2 linked regions of the Callithrix jacchus genome follow. The protein of the gene in region 2 binds, or shares a complex with, the protein of the main gene of each other region. Links are inferred from orthologs where the notes say so. Each region holds a gene or a part of one and is shown on either strand. Other genes may lie near its edges.

The links.
Region 1: ODAD4 (region 2) and CLXN share a complex: the UniProt entries of both Homo sapiens proteins name them as parts of the outer dynein arm-docking complex. The link is inferred for Callithrix jacchus from reciprocal best matches to the Homo sapiens genes ODAD4 and CLXN.

The regions. Positions count from the first base shown.
Region 1 is NC_133517.1:5,914,535-5,923,089, forward strand, and holds the start of CLXN (calaxin), read left to right. Parts: upstream 1-2,731; 5' UTR 2,732-2,845; coding exon 2,846-2,903; intron 2,904-6,877; coding exon 6,878-7,033; intron 7,034-7,709; coding exon 7,710-7,814; intron 7,815-8,468; coding exon 8,469-8,555. UniProt on the Homo sapiens protein: Component of the outer dynein arm-docking complex (ODA-DC) that mediates outer dynein arms (ODA) binding onto the doublet microtubule. Seems to regulate the assembly of both ODAs and their axonemal docking complex onto ciliary microtubules.
Region 2 is NC_133506.1:91,291,671-91,299,620, reverse strand, and holds part of ODAD4 (outer dynein arm-docking complex subunit 4), read left to right. Parts: coding exon 1-68; intron 69-5,706; coding exon 5,707-5,838; intron 5,839-6,091; coding exon 6,092-6,242; intron 6,243-6,943; coding exon 6,944-7,005; intron 7,006-7,232; coding exon 7,233-7,398; intron 7,399-7,950. UniProt on the Homo sapiens protein: Component of the outer dynein arm-docking complex (ODA-DC) that mediates outer dynein arms (ODA) binding onto the doublet microtubule. Plays an essential role for the assembly of ODA-DC and for the docking of ODA in ciliary axoneme.

The sequences.
Region 1 (8,555 bases), on a different chromosome or scaffold from region 2:
CAACTTGTTCCTAAAATCTAAAAATATTAACTTCCAAAACTTTGCAAGAATGTAATGAAAGCTTGGAGTTTGCCGTATGTTGACAAAACATACCCTAAATAAACACAGTGCTTTCCCTGAAAAAGATGGGAAGACCTAACTGTAAGGTCAACTCTGTAAACCACTCTCTTAGATAAGTGAGATTCACAAAGCAATGCGCTTGCGTAGACAGACAAACAGATAGATGTAGAGATTGTTTTGGCTAAAAGAACAGGATGGAAGAAAGAAAGAACTGGAGGAGAAAAGTAGTAGAAGAGGAGGAGGGACTTACAAAGTTTGCTCAACAGGTTAAGGATTTTTGCTTGGCATATTTTAATTTCAACAATCTGTGATATTGCCCCTACATCTTTTTTTTTTTTTTTCACTTTAAGGGAATATGGCTGATGGGCTCTAGGCCTGAAACTGGTGAAGGAATAACTTATTAGCTCACTCATAGCAAGCACCCAGTGTATGCGATCTCCCCAAAAGTCAGAAACGACCACCAGTGTACTCACCCCCAGCGCAGGCCTACAACGTCAGATGGGGAGCCCCGGTTCTCTTAGTAATTACTGACAAGTCTTCTTTCGGGTCCTTATCTCTTGAAGTGAGCAAGAAGCAGCAATCTCTAGGAATTAAATAATTGCTACAATTCTTGTGATCTAACAGAAATCATTAAGGTATCACAGGTAAGTATTCAAATATTCAAATATGTAATTGAATTTTCAAGTGATTCAAATATATTCAGCCTTCCCTTTTGTTCTTAGGGTCTCAGAAATTTCACAGCTTCTAGACAAGGGGATACATAGAAACGCTATTTAACCAGACTGCCATTACAAACTCATAACCAGTCAATTCATATCAGGACATTTGCTTTCCAGTCCCTGCTTAACCAAGCACCCTTTGCTGTGGTTTCAAACAGTGTCCCAATCCTTCATTCCATAAACAAATCAAACAGTGAAGAAAAACCAGAGGCCTCGACATTGGAACTATTCATTTGGGATTATTACTCTCGGTTAGTAGAATTTTTCTGCCTTCAGTCTAAAAATGCGAGTATGTGTACAGTAAAATAATTTGTATTCCAAAGGCGTTTTCCCCTCTGAAGTTAAACAAGCAGGTACTCTGGGGAATACCGCAGATTTGGTGCTCCTGGCTGAGCCACCCTTTCTATTGCCACCTTAGCTGAAAGAGGGGATCCCCTCTGTGGTTAGGAAAAGCAGAAAGTGCTCCCACACTGAAGATGTAAGGAATGTCCTTTGTCTGCAGGCACAGAACCCGTCTTTCAAATAAGTAAAAGACGAAGGTTACTGAGATATTTACTGGAAAAGCAAGATTGGGCTGCACCCCACACCCAAGGGGTACTTGTCAGTTTGTTTTCACTGGGGGGGAATGCCTATTTAACCACTATAAAAATTCCCGGTGGCTCTCCTCAGATTCCACAGACAACCTCCACCTTTTGAGAGTGAGATGAGGGCAATGGGAAAAGAAAAAAAAACTACAGTCACACGCTGCATAGCGCCATTTAGATCATCGTCAGACAGCATTAGGACAGTGGTCCCATAGGATATAACACCGGGCCGGGCACAGTGGCTCACGCCTGGAATCCCAGTACTTTGGGAGGCCGAGGCGGGCGGATCACCTGAGGTCAAAAGATCGAGACCATCCTGGCCAATATAGAGAAACCCCGTCTCTACCAAAAATACAAAAATTAGCTGGGAGTGGTGGCACGTGCCTGTAGTCCCAGCTACTCGGGAGGCTGAGGTAGAAGAATCGCTTGAACCCGGGAGGCAGAGGTTGCAGTGAGCCAAGATTGCGCCATTGCACTCCAGCCTGGCGACAGAGCGAGACTCAGTCTCACAACAAACAAAAAATGAATGAATGAATAAATGAATAAATAAAAAAAGATATTTTATATATAATCCATATATAAAAGCCCTCTGGGGAAGCACACTCTGTTCTAGCTGCCTGCAGCACTCCACGGGTGACCTGCTGTGCAGGGGTGCAGCCCGGAAGCAGTGGGCTGTACCATTCAACCCGGCGTGCAGTAGGCGAGGCCATCTAGGTGTGCGTCCGTGCACTGTGATGTATGCACAGTGAGGAAATCGCCTAGTGGCCTCAGAACGCATCCCCCTCCTTAGGCAAGCCTTGACTGTATTCCAGTTTCCCCTTGCTCTCAGAAACACCACTAAAAACTTGAAGACCTCAGGTGACAGACTGCCTCCTGCTACCGCAGCAACACTGACAGCCTGAGCAGCGGCTCCGCCCAAAGGGCAAGCTCCTCGCCCTCCTGCACCAGGCTGACAGCCATCTGGACAGCACCCTTGCTATTTTGTGACGCTGCTCCAGCCCCCAAGATGGCCAAGATCTTAGGCCACCCCTTGAGGGGTGACGCTCACCACCCCTCACAAAGCGTGCACACCGTATTTCAGATTTTAATGATTTACGCTGCAAAGCAAGGAGGCTGTGCACTCAGCAGCCACAGACAACTGAACATTTAAACCCCAAAGTCAGCATCAGACTTCAGCCCACGAAGCGCCCGGCTGGGACCCTGCCTGCAGCACCGCGCACCCGGGACCCAGAGCGCGCAGAGGCGGAGCCAATGGGCGGGGCCCGGCTGTTGCCATGGTCACGTCGCGGGCAGCCTGGGAGCCAATCGGCGGCGGGCAGAGCTGTTGTCATGGCTACACCGTCTGTTAGGGCCGCGCACGCGCTCGTTGACGGAGACCTCACCCCTTTGCCCCAGCCCCAGGGCTCGCGGGCTTCCCGCGAGGGTCTCGGCAGCCGAGCGCCCCGAGATCCCCGCCGCGGCCCGATTCCGTGGGCGCCAGGCATGAACCGCAAGAAGCTGCAGAAGCTGACCGACACCTTAACTAAAAATTGCAAGCACTGTAAGTAAGAATCTAGTGCTGGACAAGACGAGGCTCCTGGGCCGGGCCTGGACCCCATCCGGTGCTAAGGGCCGCAGTTGTGCCCGCTTCCCGCAGCCCAGGCCTCTGTGGGCTACCGCCCCTCCACCCCCGCCCCTTATGCAGAAGCAGGGAGGGAATCCCGGGGTGCTAGCTCCTTGGGTTTGGCTCCAACGCCCAGGAACTTAGGAACCCAGGCCCACGCTTCTAGTGCTACCTACACTCCCACACATGCACTTCTCCAAGCCTCTTCTTTTACATGATAGAAACTTGTGGTGTTAGCCTAAGGGAGGTGTAAAATAAATGCTAAAACCCACTGGTCTTAAGAAAAGTAGCACCCCGGACGTAGATCGTACACCCACCTTGCTTTCTAGCTCGCACATATACCCGCAGGTCTAAGTTCTGGAAGCTTGCCAAGAGACCCACAGGAGAAAATGGTGCCCAAGCTCTGAACATCTTTAGGAGAGATGAGTTGTGTCATCTCATCTGTGCCTCAGAGCAAGGAGATTTGTTTGGAAACCAGAGTTCATGCAACTAAACAGGTGGTAAAGAATGGGTCCAGGCCGGGCGCGGTGGCTCACGCCTGTAATCCCAGCACTTTGGGAGGCCGAGGCGGGTGGATCACGAGGTCAAGAGATCGAAACCATCCTGGTCAACATGGTGAAACCCCGTCTCTACTAAAAATACAAAAAATTAGCTGGGCATGGTGGCGCGTGCCTGTAATCCCAGCTACTCGGGAGCCTGAGGCAGGAGAATTGCCTGAACCCAGGAGGTGGAGGTTGCGGTGAGCCGAGATCGCGCCATTGCACTCCAGCCTGGGTAACAGCAGCGAAACTCAGTCTCAAAAAAAAAAAAAAAGAAAGAAAGAAAGGGTCCAAACTTTAGACTCCCACTTTCCAGTGGCCCGTGGTGTTGAAAGATAAAGGAGGCTTTCAACCCAACGGTACTGCCTTACTGAAGGCGCCTGCTCTAACCCAACGGTACTGCCTTATTGAAGGCGCCTGCTCTAACCCAAGGGCACTGCCTTATTGAAGGCGCCTGCTCTAATCTCGCATTTGAAAGGGTGGTCCTAGAATTTCATAGGAGATGTTGAGATTCTATTCAGATTGAAAAACAGAATTGCACTTGAGCAAGGGAAGCCGTGGATATGGTTGAGACGAGGAAGATATTGCCTGTCGAGCAAACTTAGAAGTTGTGTGCTGATTGCAAAACTGCTCGCCACTTGAAGAAGCAGAAGCAACTGGTCTTTGAGCAAAGACCTGGGTTGCTCAAAGAAGAAGCAATAAACCTGTTGATGTAGTTTTAGAGAGTGTGAGATCTAGTGCATTCGAATCACCATTAGTATCTGATTAATAACTGGTAAGAAATGCTCTCTTAGTGGGATGGTGGCATAAATGAACGTTATGGTGTGTATAAGCATCTTACAAATTTTAGGCAAAATATCCTGTAATTTAAGGTATTATTATGACTTATACTCCGATGAGAGTTTTGTTCTGTTATTGTTTTTCTTAAAACACTTTCATTTCTGGGAGAAAAATAGGTATTGTTGAAACATCTAGTAAACATTTTTGATAAATATTCAAAAACAATGCAATTGCTGCTGTACACAATACTGATTTTGTCCCTTTCCTTAAGTTTGAATTTATTTAGTTTCTGTTCAGTAAATTTGAATGCATTGCAAACAATCATTCTCTGAACAATCAAAAGGTGAGTGTATATTTCAAAAGATGAGTAAAAATATGGCAGGAAAAAGTCTACTCCTTTGATTTTTTCTTTACATAAAACAATTTTAATGAGCCTTACAAACTTAGATGATTATTAAAGTCTATAGAAAGAGTTACAAGTCATGGGTATTATAATAATTTTAGATTTCCTTGAACAGAAGAAGTTTCCCCTAAAGTCAAATTTTGTTTTAGTTCCAAGACAATAGAGCTATCAAGATTCAATGATAAATTTTGTAGAATCAAAGAAGAGTAAAAGATCTTAAGAGGGCATCTAGTTCATGCACCATTCTGCAGATATGTTCTGCAGGACGTATTTAGAGCATTCCAAGAAGATGAAAATCTCTTCTTGAATTTTCTTCAGTTTCATTTAATATTGTATTCCAGAATTTAAGAAATATTTAGCAATTAAAGTTTTCTTATGGCTAACCTTTGATCCCTTGGGTAACAAATTAAACTGATTTTTAAAAAGGTTTTATTTCAGCTGAGACAGAAAAATGGCTAAGCAACATCCCATCTGCTAGCATTTTATATACATGAACAGAGTGCATCGTTCTTCCCGCAGGCTTTTCTTCCCCAACCACTAACAGCTCTTGCTTTCTCAGAAGGGTGTGGTGTGTGTGTGTTTACATACATGAAATTTACTATTTGGACCATTTTAAGTGCTTAGTTCCATGGCATTAGTACATTCCCATTGTTCTGTTTCACTCTGTTCTGCTTCCATCACCACCATCCACTTCCAGAACTTTTTCATCGTCTCCAACAGAAACTCTACCCATGAAACACTAACTCACCATCCCCTCCTCCTCCTGGCCCCTGGCAATCACCATTCTACTTGGTCTCTATGAATCTGACTACTCTAAGTACCGCATGTACAAGGAATCATACAATATGTGTCCTTTTGTGTCTGGCCTATTTCACTTAGCATAGTGTCCATAAATGTTCATTTATCTGTTGAATTTTCTTCCTTTTCACGGCTGAATAGTAGTATTTTATTGTATAAATATGCCACATCTTGTCTGTCCATCCCTCCATTGATGGACTCTTGCGTCTGTCTTTTGACTGTTCTGAATAATACCACTATGAACATTGTTGTACAGGTTCCTGCTTTCAGTTCTTCTCGGTATGTACTCAGGTAGAATTCCTGGATCATACAATAATTGTGTTTACATTTTTGAGGAACCATCCTAATGTTTTCCACAGTGACAACAGCTGTTTTTAAAATCATAACCATTATATTATTTCCTACTATTTATTTACTGAATCCTTTTTTTCCCAGAGTTTTCAGTATTTCTCTTTAAGCATGGTTCTCAAAACCAGAAATCCCACAAAAGCCCATACTGACCTCTAAGATGAGGCGTGCTTTTTCCATTCCTAGATGCTGTCTTCTGTTACACGCACACACACAGGTTTTGTCCTTGTTTTCTTAAAATGCTCAATCATAGTTCTGCCTGGTTTCAAAACAAATTTTCCCCAACTTTCGCTCATACTTGGTATTTGGGCTTTTATATTTTCAAGACCAAGCAATAACCCTTCCACCTACATTCTCAAATGGGAATTGGAACACAAATAATCAGCTCGGTATTTATAACCATGGTTCTTTACACAATATGTGTATGAGCAAGCATCTGTGTGTATATATCCTTTAAAAAAATTTCTTTCCTCCCAACAATTACTGAATAGTTGCATATTAATTTTTACATAATCCTCAACAAGAGCCATATTGGGTGCTAGACTATACTGTAAAGCTTTTTTTTTGAAAAACTAGTGACTCTGGTTTCCAAAATCTGGCTTATGAATCCATGAAGGCTAAAGTGAAATGAAAATTGTTACCTACTTTTCATGAAACTGACATCTATTTCCAGGGAAAAGAAGTTGTAAACTCATGAATGCCAATAAACACTGGGAAAAAGTTACCATTCTTAAACCTTACCATTCTTATTTTGAGTCATATTTCTACCAGCCTTGTAGAGTTTAGAATCCTACACCACCATCATTAGTCTAATAACTTAGCTAATACTGTCATATTTTTCCCCTAAACGTGGGAACTCCTGTTTGGAGGGTGTGCTACTTCTATTTCTATTAAGGGTCATGAATCTCAAAACAAGAGAGTCTTCTATTGACAATTACCTATTTGATGTCTTTTATGTTGTTTGTAAACTTATTAATGCAAAATTTAAGTTAGAGCTTAAAGATTAAGGATTCATTTTTGTTATATCTGTTTTATTCTTTCAGTTAATAAATTTGAAGTGAACTGTCTTATAAGGCTTTTTTACAACTTGGTGGGAGGAGTAGAGAGGCAAGGTCTGATTATTGGACTGGATCGTAATGCCTTTCGAAACATCCTGCATGTGACGTTTGGAATGACAGATGACATGATTATGGACAGAGGTAAGAGACACAGGAGATTCAAATTGGCCAAATCCAGCCATAACTGAAAAAAAAAGTTTTGGCTTTTGGACATCCTCTTGGTAGGAAGCTTAGTGTTTTGCATTCCCTGTGCCACTGGAATATACAAATTTAATTTTGAAAAGATCATAGAAAAGAGGTAATATTTGGCTTTATTTTGTGTATTTAAGAAGAAGGCAGAGTCATGTTGACTAACTACCTTTCCCTTACTTTATATCAGAAAACCCAAAGCATTTCTATTTATACTCAATAAAACTAATAAATAGAATAGTTTTTAAAGGACATTTAAATTATTTACATCTTCAGTGACAAGATATAATTCTATGCAACATGTAATGACTTGAGTAACAAAAAGAGTATTTTATTTATATTAGTATTTAACTATCTCATTAACATGACCAACATATCTATTATTAATGATTAATACATTTAGGCATTGAGAACTGTATTCATTCCCACGAAAACATTTTAAAAATTGAATGTTTAATAAAAGAGTTTCATGATATGAAGATGTCTTAGTTTCCTCTTTGTCAGATGAGAATATTGGACCGCACAAGCCGAAGTGTTCTCTTAGTTTTAAAAGTGAGTGATGCCAGTGTAGATGCTTCACCGAGTTACCATGCAGCACAGGTGTTACATTTCACCTCTCTCCCTTTAGTATTCCGAGCTTTTGATAAAGATAACGATGGCTGTGTAAACGTATCGGAGTGGGTTCATGGATTATCTCTGTTTCTTCGCGGATCTTTGGAAGAAAAAATGAAATGTAAGATTGAGGTTTGTCCTAAGGGTCTGCACATTGTGAATTACATATCTAAGGCACTTAAACCAGTGTCCTTCAACCCCGCCAGTAAGCCAGTGAAGTGGGTTTGTTGGTTGGCCGGTTAGTTGATTTGGATCCCAGTAGCCTGTTTTATGGAGTGAATTCAAGTCAATGAAATATGGAAGAAAGTTAATAAAAAGAAATATCAAGTCATTCCAAGGAGTAATTTATGCCAAGGAAGACTCCATAGGCATTGCTACACATGCTAATTGTGTACATACACATTTATATATTAAGCTTTTGACAGATTTCAGTACTGGAGAATATTGATGCAAGTGTTCTTATTCTTAATTAACTCTCAGTTAATTCTGATGAACTCTCCTTATGAGTTCAATCAGTTTTCCAAGAGTTTCAGGGTGAAGATATTGAAGTTACTGTTCGTTGGTATGCTTTTTCATACTTGAGAGTAAGGAAATGTTTTCTAAGGATTATTGAATATATCCTAGTATATATTGGCACTCACTGTGGAAATCAGGCTGCACTAAGGCCAGTAAGACTTTTACAGCATCAAGATAGAACTTGGCCCTGAAAACTTTACCAGAGAAAATATTACCTTCCTGATAGCATCAAATTCATAATTTCTTATTTTTAAAAAAGATTGCTTTGAAGTGTTTGATTTGAATGGTGACGGATTCATTTCAAAGGAGGAAATGTTTCACATGCTGAAGAACAGCCTTCTCAAAC
Region 2 (7,950 bases):
ACATGGCGGAAGGCGAACGGCTCTACCTGTGCGGGGAATTCTCTAAAGCTGCGCGGAGCTTCAGCAACGTGAGTCGCGTTCTGAACCTACCTATCACCCCATCGCCAGTCACTTTTTTTTTTGAGACGGAGTTTCGCTCTTGTTGCCCAGGCCGGCGTGCAATGGCGCGATCTCGGCTCACTGCTACCTTCGCCTTCTGGGTTCAAGCGATTCTCTACCTCGGCCTCCCGAGTAGTTGGGATTACAGGCATTCGCCACCACGCTCAGCTAATTTTGTATTTTTAGTAGAGACGGGGTTTCTCCATGTTGGTCAGGCTGGTCTCGAACTCCCAACCTCAGGTGATCTGCCCGCCTCGGCCTCCCAAAGGCGTGAGCCACCATGCCCCGCCCACCCGTCACCTTTTGACTGCAGATAACACTGAGGCCTTGATGATGCCTGGAGGACTCTATTGTTTCTATTATTCACTGATTCTTAAAAATTTTTTTTTTCTTTTGCCTTCTTTTTTTAACCTATAAAATAAAAAGCAATATTCACTGATTCTTGATAGACACATTGCTGTCACAGATAAGCCCAGTGCTTGGTAATTTTCTACCAATTCCCACTTGCATTCTCCAGTCTCTGTGTTAACAGTGACCTCTTCCTCTACTTTTGCTTAAATGTTTCATGATTAACTGGCCTCCTTCCACAGAGCAGCCTTACCTACCCATCAAAATTTACATTTAACAATTTTTTTTTTTTTAAGCAATCGAAAATTTACCTACCCAATCCCTTGCCAGCAGATTGGCTGAGAGGTTGTATGTAGAAGCCACAGTGTGTCCAGCACACAATTGCTTACAAAAGGTGGGCAGTAAGCAACATATTGTTATTAATTTCGAGACTAAAATTCTCGCCCTTTTGCCCAGGCTGGAGTGCAGTGGCGAGATCTCAGCTGACTGCAACTTCCACCTCCCTGGGTTCATTCAATTTTCCTGCCTCAGCCTCACGCACACTGCTAAGCATACTCGAGTTTTGTTTTGTTTTGTTTTGTTTTTCTGAGACAGAGTTTCACTCTTGTTACCCAGGCTGGAGTCCAATGGCGCCATCTCGGCTCACCGCAACCTCCGCCTCCTGGGTTCAGGCAATTCTCCCGCCTTACCCTCCTGAGTAGCCGGGATTACAGGCACGCACCACCATGCCCAGCTAATTTTTTGTATTTTTAGTAGAGACGGGGTTTCACCATGTTGACCAGGATGGTCTCGATCTCTTGACCTCGTGATCCAACCGCCTCGGCCTCCCAAAGTGCTGGGATTACAGGCTTGAGCCACCGTACCCAGCCTGTTTTGTTTTTTTGAGACGGCCCAGGCTGGAGTGCTGAGTGCAGTGGTGCAATCTCTGCTCAATGCAATGTCCGCCTTCCAGGTTCAAGTGATTCTCTTGCCTCAGCCTCCCAACTAACTGGAATTTTTGTTTTGCCCAGGATCACTGAACTAGCAAGTGGCAGAGGAGGGATTCAAAGCTGGGTTGAGACTCCAGTGCTGAGGTGCTAACCATCAAACTACACATCTGACATCTGCATAAGGAAACTATTTATTTTTTTAGCAATTGAAAATTTACATATAACAGGATCTTGTTCTGTCTCTGAGACTGGAATGTAGTGGTTAAATCACAGCTCACTACAGCCTGAAACTCCTGAGCTCAAGTGGTCCTCCCACCTTAGTGTCCCAAGTAGCTGGAGCTACAGGCTTACACCACCATGCCTGGGTAATTTTTGTTTGTTTGTAGAGATGGGTGTTTTGCTGTGTTGTCCTGGCTGGTCTTGAACACCTGGGCTCAAGTAAGACTCCCACTTTGGCCCCTCACAAAGTGCTAACATTATAGGTATGAGCTATAGTACCCTAAAAAGATGCCTTTGGCTGGGCGCGGTGGCTCACGCCTATAATCCCAGCACTTTGGGAGGCCGAGGCAGGTGGATCACGAGGTCAAGAGATCAAGACCATCCTGGTCAACAAGGTGAAACCCCGTCTCTACTAAAAATACAAAAAATTAGCTGGGCATGATGGCGTGCGCCTGTAGTCCCAGCTACTTGGGAGGCTGAGGCAGTAGAATTGCCTGAACCCAGGAGTCGGAGGTTACGGTGAGCCGAGATGGCGCCATTGCACTCCAGTCTGGGTAACAAGAGCGAAACTCCGTCTCAAAAAAAAAAAAAAAATCAAACTTCTCAACAGCTCCCCAGAGTCGTTTGTCTCTTTCAGCCACCAACTGCACCCTAATGCCAGAAGTGACAAGATAAGTGAACAATTGAGTTCAGGAGCCCTGCCCCCACTCATTCTCCTCCTGCTGGATCATGTCCCATCTTGAAGTACCCCTGGCCGAGAAAAAAGAACACCCTGAGGGAGGGTAGCCTTAGATGAGAAGCATTTTCCAGAAAGACAGTAACTACTTCCTCTTCTTAGAAAAGTAGGAAGGTCTCTCTGTGTAGTTTGCAAGTACAGAAAAATTAAAAAAAAAAAAGAAAAATAGGAAGATTGCCGACATTGCTCTCCGGCCTGGGCAACAAGAGTGAAACTCCATCTTAAAAAAACTCGAGAAAAAAAAAGGCCGGGTAGGGTGGCTCCACGCCTGTAATCCCAGCACTTTGGGAGGTTGAGGTGGGAGGATCACCTGAGGTCAGGAGCTCAAGACCAGCCTGGCCAACATGGTGAAACCCTGTCTCTACTAAAAATACAAAAAAAATTAGCTGGGTGTGGTGGCATGTGCCTGTAGTCCCAGCTATCGGGAGGCTGAGGCAGGAGAATTGCTTGAACCCGGGACACAGAGTTTGCAGTGAGCAGAGGTTGTGCCGCTGTACTCCAGTCTGAGCGACAGAGTAAGACTTCTCAGTCTCAAAAAAAAAAAAAAAAAAGATCAGGGTGGGGTACAGTTCAATGCCTCAGGAAGGACAGCACACCACAGACTGTGGTAATCATCTCAATCAGAAGAGAAGAGAGGACACTGGGAGTGGGGAAATCACCCTCAACCCCACTTAAGGGTCAAAATCACAGTTTCAGTTTTCCTGGCATTTTCTTTTTTTTTCTTCCAGACAAAGTCTCATTCTGGCACCCAGGCTGGAGTAGTGCAGTGGCATGATCTCAGCTCACTGCAGCCTCTGCCTCTCTGTAGGGCTGATGGCCCCACAGGGTCGTGGAGTGAGCCTTATGCTGTGCTGAGGCGTAGGATTCGAGAAATAAAGAGACAGGACACAGAAGTACAAGAAAAATGCAGCTGGGCTCGGGGGGCCACGCCACCTATAAGCGGAGTTAGGCAAGGCCCCGAATGTCCAGAAGCATGAGTATTTATTGTGTGTAGGTTAGGGGGCAGGGCAGTGAGTGAAATCATCTTTAAGGATAGTGATAGGGTCGTGAGCAATAGAACATGGAGTCCACCCCCATCAGGTCACCTAGGCCAGGAGGTGGACAGTGCACAGCAAAGGGCCCATTCCCACGAAGGCAAGGGCTGTGCGCAGTGTGCAATACTTCTATCTATGGTCAAACTACTTCTAAGAAAATTTATAGGAGGATGCTTTAAGTCACATAGCAGTGACAGAGCTGTCAGGGTTACTGCCACCTTCTGGCAGCTTCCAATGGGTTCTATGGGAAGATGCTTTTCAAGCAGCACAGTAGCAAGAGCTGATAAAGTTCACAGTCACCAAGGTAGATTGCCGTTCTGAGGGCAGCCTTCCACAAGAACTGGAGCAACTTCTTTATCAGGAGGAGTGGCTCTTGCCCCAAGCCTGCCATACAGCGGGTATCTTTATGATACTGAACGCTGCCGCCTGGGCCATGGATTGTTGTCCTGGCATAACTGTTTTTCCCTTAAATCATGCTCTGCACTGTGTCTGCTCCAGGCATTCCTCTGATTATAAGCTGCTTATTCCTTAATTCATGCTCTGTACTGTGTCCACTCTAGGCATTCCTCCGATATGAACTAAGATATAATTATAGGTATATATGTAGGGAAATATTCTTTAGGCACTCATACATACTATTAACTATTATATGATTATATAGAGAGGATTATATAAAGGGATTCGTCAAGCCCTATTTCTATAAACTAATATATGATTGTATAAAGGATTATATAAAAGGAAATAGCTGAGTGGTAACACTATAAAGTGAGATATTCCTCAAGCCCTAACTGTGCCAGGGTTCTGCTTAGCTCTCATTCCTCGGTTCCTATATGGGGGGTTACCCACATCTCTCAGGTTCAAGTTATTCTCCTGCCTCAGACTCCCAAGTAGTTGGGTAGTTGAGATTACAGGTGCTCATCACCATGTCCGGCTAATTTTTTTTATTTTGAGACGGAGTCATGCTCTGTCGCCCAGGCTGGAGTGCAGTGGCATGGTCTTGGCTCACCGCAGCCTCCGCCTCACAGGTTCAAGCAATTCTCCTGCTTCAGCCTCCTGAGTTCTTGGGATTACAGGCGCCCACCACTTCACCCGGCTAATTTTTATATTTTCAGTAGAGACAGGGTTTCACCATGTTGGCCAGGCTGGTCTCGAACTCCTGACCTTGTGATCCTCCCGCCTTGGCCTCCCAAAGTGCTAGGATTACAGGTGTGAGCCACCACGCACAGCCTTGTTTTTTTTTTGAGACGAGTCTCTGTTGCCAGGCTGGAGTGCAGTGGCGCGATCTCGGCTCATTGCAGCCTCCATCTCCTGGAGCGTTTCTTCTGCCTCAGCCTCCCGAGTAGCTGAGATTACAGATGCGAGCCACCATGCCCAGCTAATCTTTGTATTTTTAGTAGAGACGGGGTTTCACCATGTTGCCTAGGATGTTCTCAATCTGCTGACCTCATGATCCACCCCCCTTGACCTCCCAAAGTGCTGGGATTACAGGCATGAGCCACTGCACCCTGCCTCTTTTTTCTTTTCTTTCTTTTTTGAGAGAGTCTCTTCTGTCACCTAGGCTGGAGTGTAGTGTTGTGATCATGGCTTACTGCAGCCTTGACCTCCCCAGGTTCAAGCAGTCCTCCCATCTCAGCCTCCTGAGTATCTGGGACTACAGACATGCACCACCACGCCCACCTAATTTTTTTTTTTTTTTTTTTAATAAAAAAAGATGGGGTTTCACCATGATGGCCAGACTGGTCTTGAACTCCTGACCTCAGGTGATCCACCCACCTCGACCTGCCAAAGTGCTGGGATTACAGGCATGAGCAACCACTCCCAGCCTTTTCCTGGCATTTTAATCTTAATCCCCTGATATAGTGATTAGTTCTTATTAGCTACATAAAAAGAGAAGGCTACTAGAATGGTTAACCCACATGGCAGATTGTCCACTTCCGAATGCTTAGCCTTTGAAATTTGTTTTGAGCGTGATGTGTTGCCATTTCAGGTTTGTGGTTGAGTTTGGTGTGCACAAAATATCCTACAGTTCTATTGCCTGAGGCTCCTGGGGGGCTCTCAGACACTGGCAGAAAGTCACCCTATCCACAGAGTAGCATATTCCCGCTCTTTGGCCAGTGGCTTCCACAATAGCTGTGATTCAACCTTGTTCAAGATGAGCCACATGCAGATAATCAAGCTGACTGAGCACAGTTTGGAGTTGTGCTATTTAGGAGCCAGAGGTCTGTTTGCTGGCCTGAAGAATCCCCTTGAACTTCTGCAGGAGGGTTTGGGCTGCCATTTCCACTCCTGCTTCTACCTTGCTCTTCGTGGTGGCTGTCAACCTGACTGGTTTCTTTGTCAGGCTCTTCAGCTTCAGAATGGAGACAAGAATTGCCTGGTTGCTCGCTCAAAGTGCTTCCTGAAGATGGGAGACTTGGAGAGATCCCTGAAAGATGCTGAAGCTTCACTCCAGAGTGACCCAACTTTCTGTAAGGTGACTGCATGGGGGGAGGGCTCGATCTTGCTTTCACCACTACCATTGCCTGCAGCAGCTTCTGGTTACAAGTAGCTGAAAAACCAGCCAGACCACCTACTGTTTAATGCCATTTTCTCTTCCTAGGTCATTGCCTATGTCCCTGCCCCTTGTATGCCAACCTTGACCCTCAACCCAGGACCCTTCTGTTCCCCCACATTTGAGTCCTGAAGTCTCTATCTGTTCACCTTGATTTGACTTCCTCCCATTCCAGGGGATCTTACAAAAGGCGGAGACACTATATACCATGGGAGACTTTGAGTTTGCCTTGGTATTCTATCATCGAGGCTACAAGCTGAGGCCCGATCGGGAATTCAAAGTTGGCATTCAGAAAGCCCAGGAAGCCATCAACAACTCAGTGGGAAGTAAGTGACGACAGGGCCTATGCCCTTATTTAGGAAGGTTTTTGGAATCCTTAGGTTGAGAGGAAGACTGAGGTACAGCGAGTGAGCAGCCAGCACCAGGCCCATGGGGAGTCCCACACCTGGATTTGGCTGCTGCAGCGTTGAGGATTAGGAACTGTCCACTGGGGGGACCAGGCCCTGACATACTGTACACTGATCTCTGAGCACTGCAGCCTTGGGTTTTCCTAAAGGCCAGATGAGAAGGGCTGTTTCAAAATAGGCCTGTCTTTAGCCTGGTGTCAAAAGCTAGAACACGGTCCTGAGCCCAGCCTTCCATAGTCCCTGGCTTCCTCCCTCATCAAACATATACCAAGAGCTGGCCTTAGCCATTGGCATTATGGCAGGGGGATAAGGGAGGCAAATGAGAGCAAGTGAGAGCTTGCTCTGTGGGTGACAGAGCCTGGAAATGGACAGAGTTTCTCCTGCACCCTTGGCCTCCCTTTGTTTGGAAATCTGCCATAGCCTTGGGCTAGCTGGGGCTGTTATCTCCTAGGATTTACACCAAACAGCCTGCAACATTTGCCTGTTAGGCTGGCTTAGGGCCAGCTTTGCCACAGCCTCCACCATCCCCCTGCCAAAGGCAGCCATCTCCACATAAAGATACGTGATAGGTCATGCCTGAGGGGGCTGGCCTACCTGAGCTCCAGCTTCTTTCCTTGCAGGTCCTTCTTCCATTAAGCTGGAGAACAAAGGGGACCTCTCCTTCTTAAGCAAGCAGGCTGAGGTAAGGGCCCTGGTCCTGTGGCTGTATCCCTTTAAGGGAAGAGGCTACGTGTGCCTGAGAAGGGGTCTTGGGAGTCTGGCTGCAACCCAACCAGGCATACTCCATGGTTCTTGGCCCACAGAAAAGTACTGGAGTTGGAGGAATCTGGGATCAAACATGCTGGGATCATGGCTGGATACGTTGTGCTCCTTGCTGAAACTCTGTTGGGTATTGCTCCATTTTCTCAGAATATGAAAGCCCAGCAGAAGCCTCAGCCCATGAAACACCTCTTACACCCCACCAAGGGAGAGTCCAAGCGGAAGGGCTCAATCAAGAGTGAGAAGATTGTCCGCCAGCTTCTGGGGGAGCTCTACGTGGACAAAGAATACTTGGAGAAGCTCCTATTGGATGAAGGTTTTGGACACTTTGTTGGCATGGGGCCTTGGGGAAAGGAAACCTGGGTGGATGCTGAATGCATGAGCTGAAGGCAGAACCTGTCATGTAATATTAACTGACATGTACCTATGGACAGGTTTTATTAGCATTCTCATTTTACAGATAAGGAAACTGAGGTGCAGACCAACGGAAACTAAGGTCACATATGGGGAGGGAATGACATGGCTTATGTTTGAATCCAGGACGTCCAATTTTAGAGCAGTGGTCCTAAGTGCTAAGGTACCCTGGGAGGGAACAACAGAGATTTGGTCTCCTTTACCACCATAGACCCTGGAGAGGCATCCCCTTTGCCTTCAATCTGTACAACGGGCAAAGGAATCCAGTGACTAGTGCTTGAATACAAGGATGTTACTTCTAGAATGTTCTGAAACATCATCTAGTCCAAGTTCTCCTTTCATAGATAAGGAAATAGAGACCCTGATTGGGGAGGAACTTTTACAAGGCGACAAGCAAGTTCATGGTGGAGTCAGTACCAGAACCCAGGCCTCTGACCTCCAGTCCAGTGCTCTT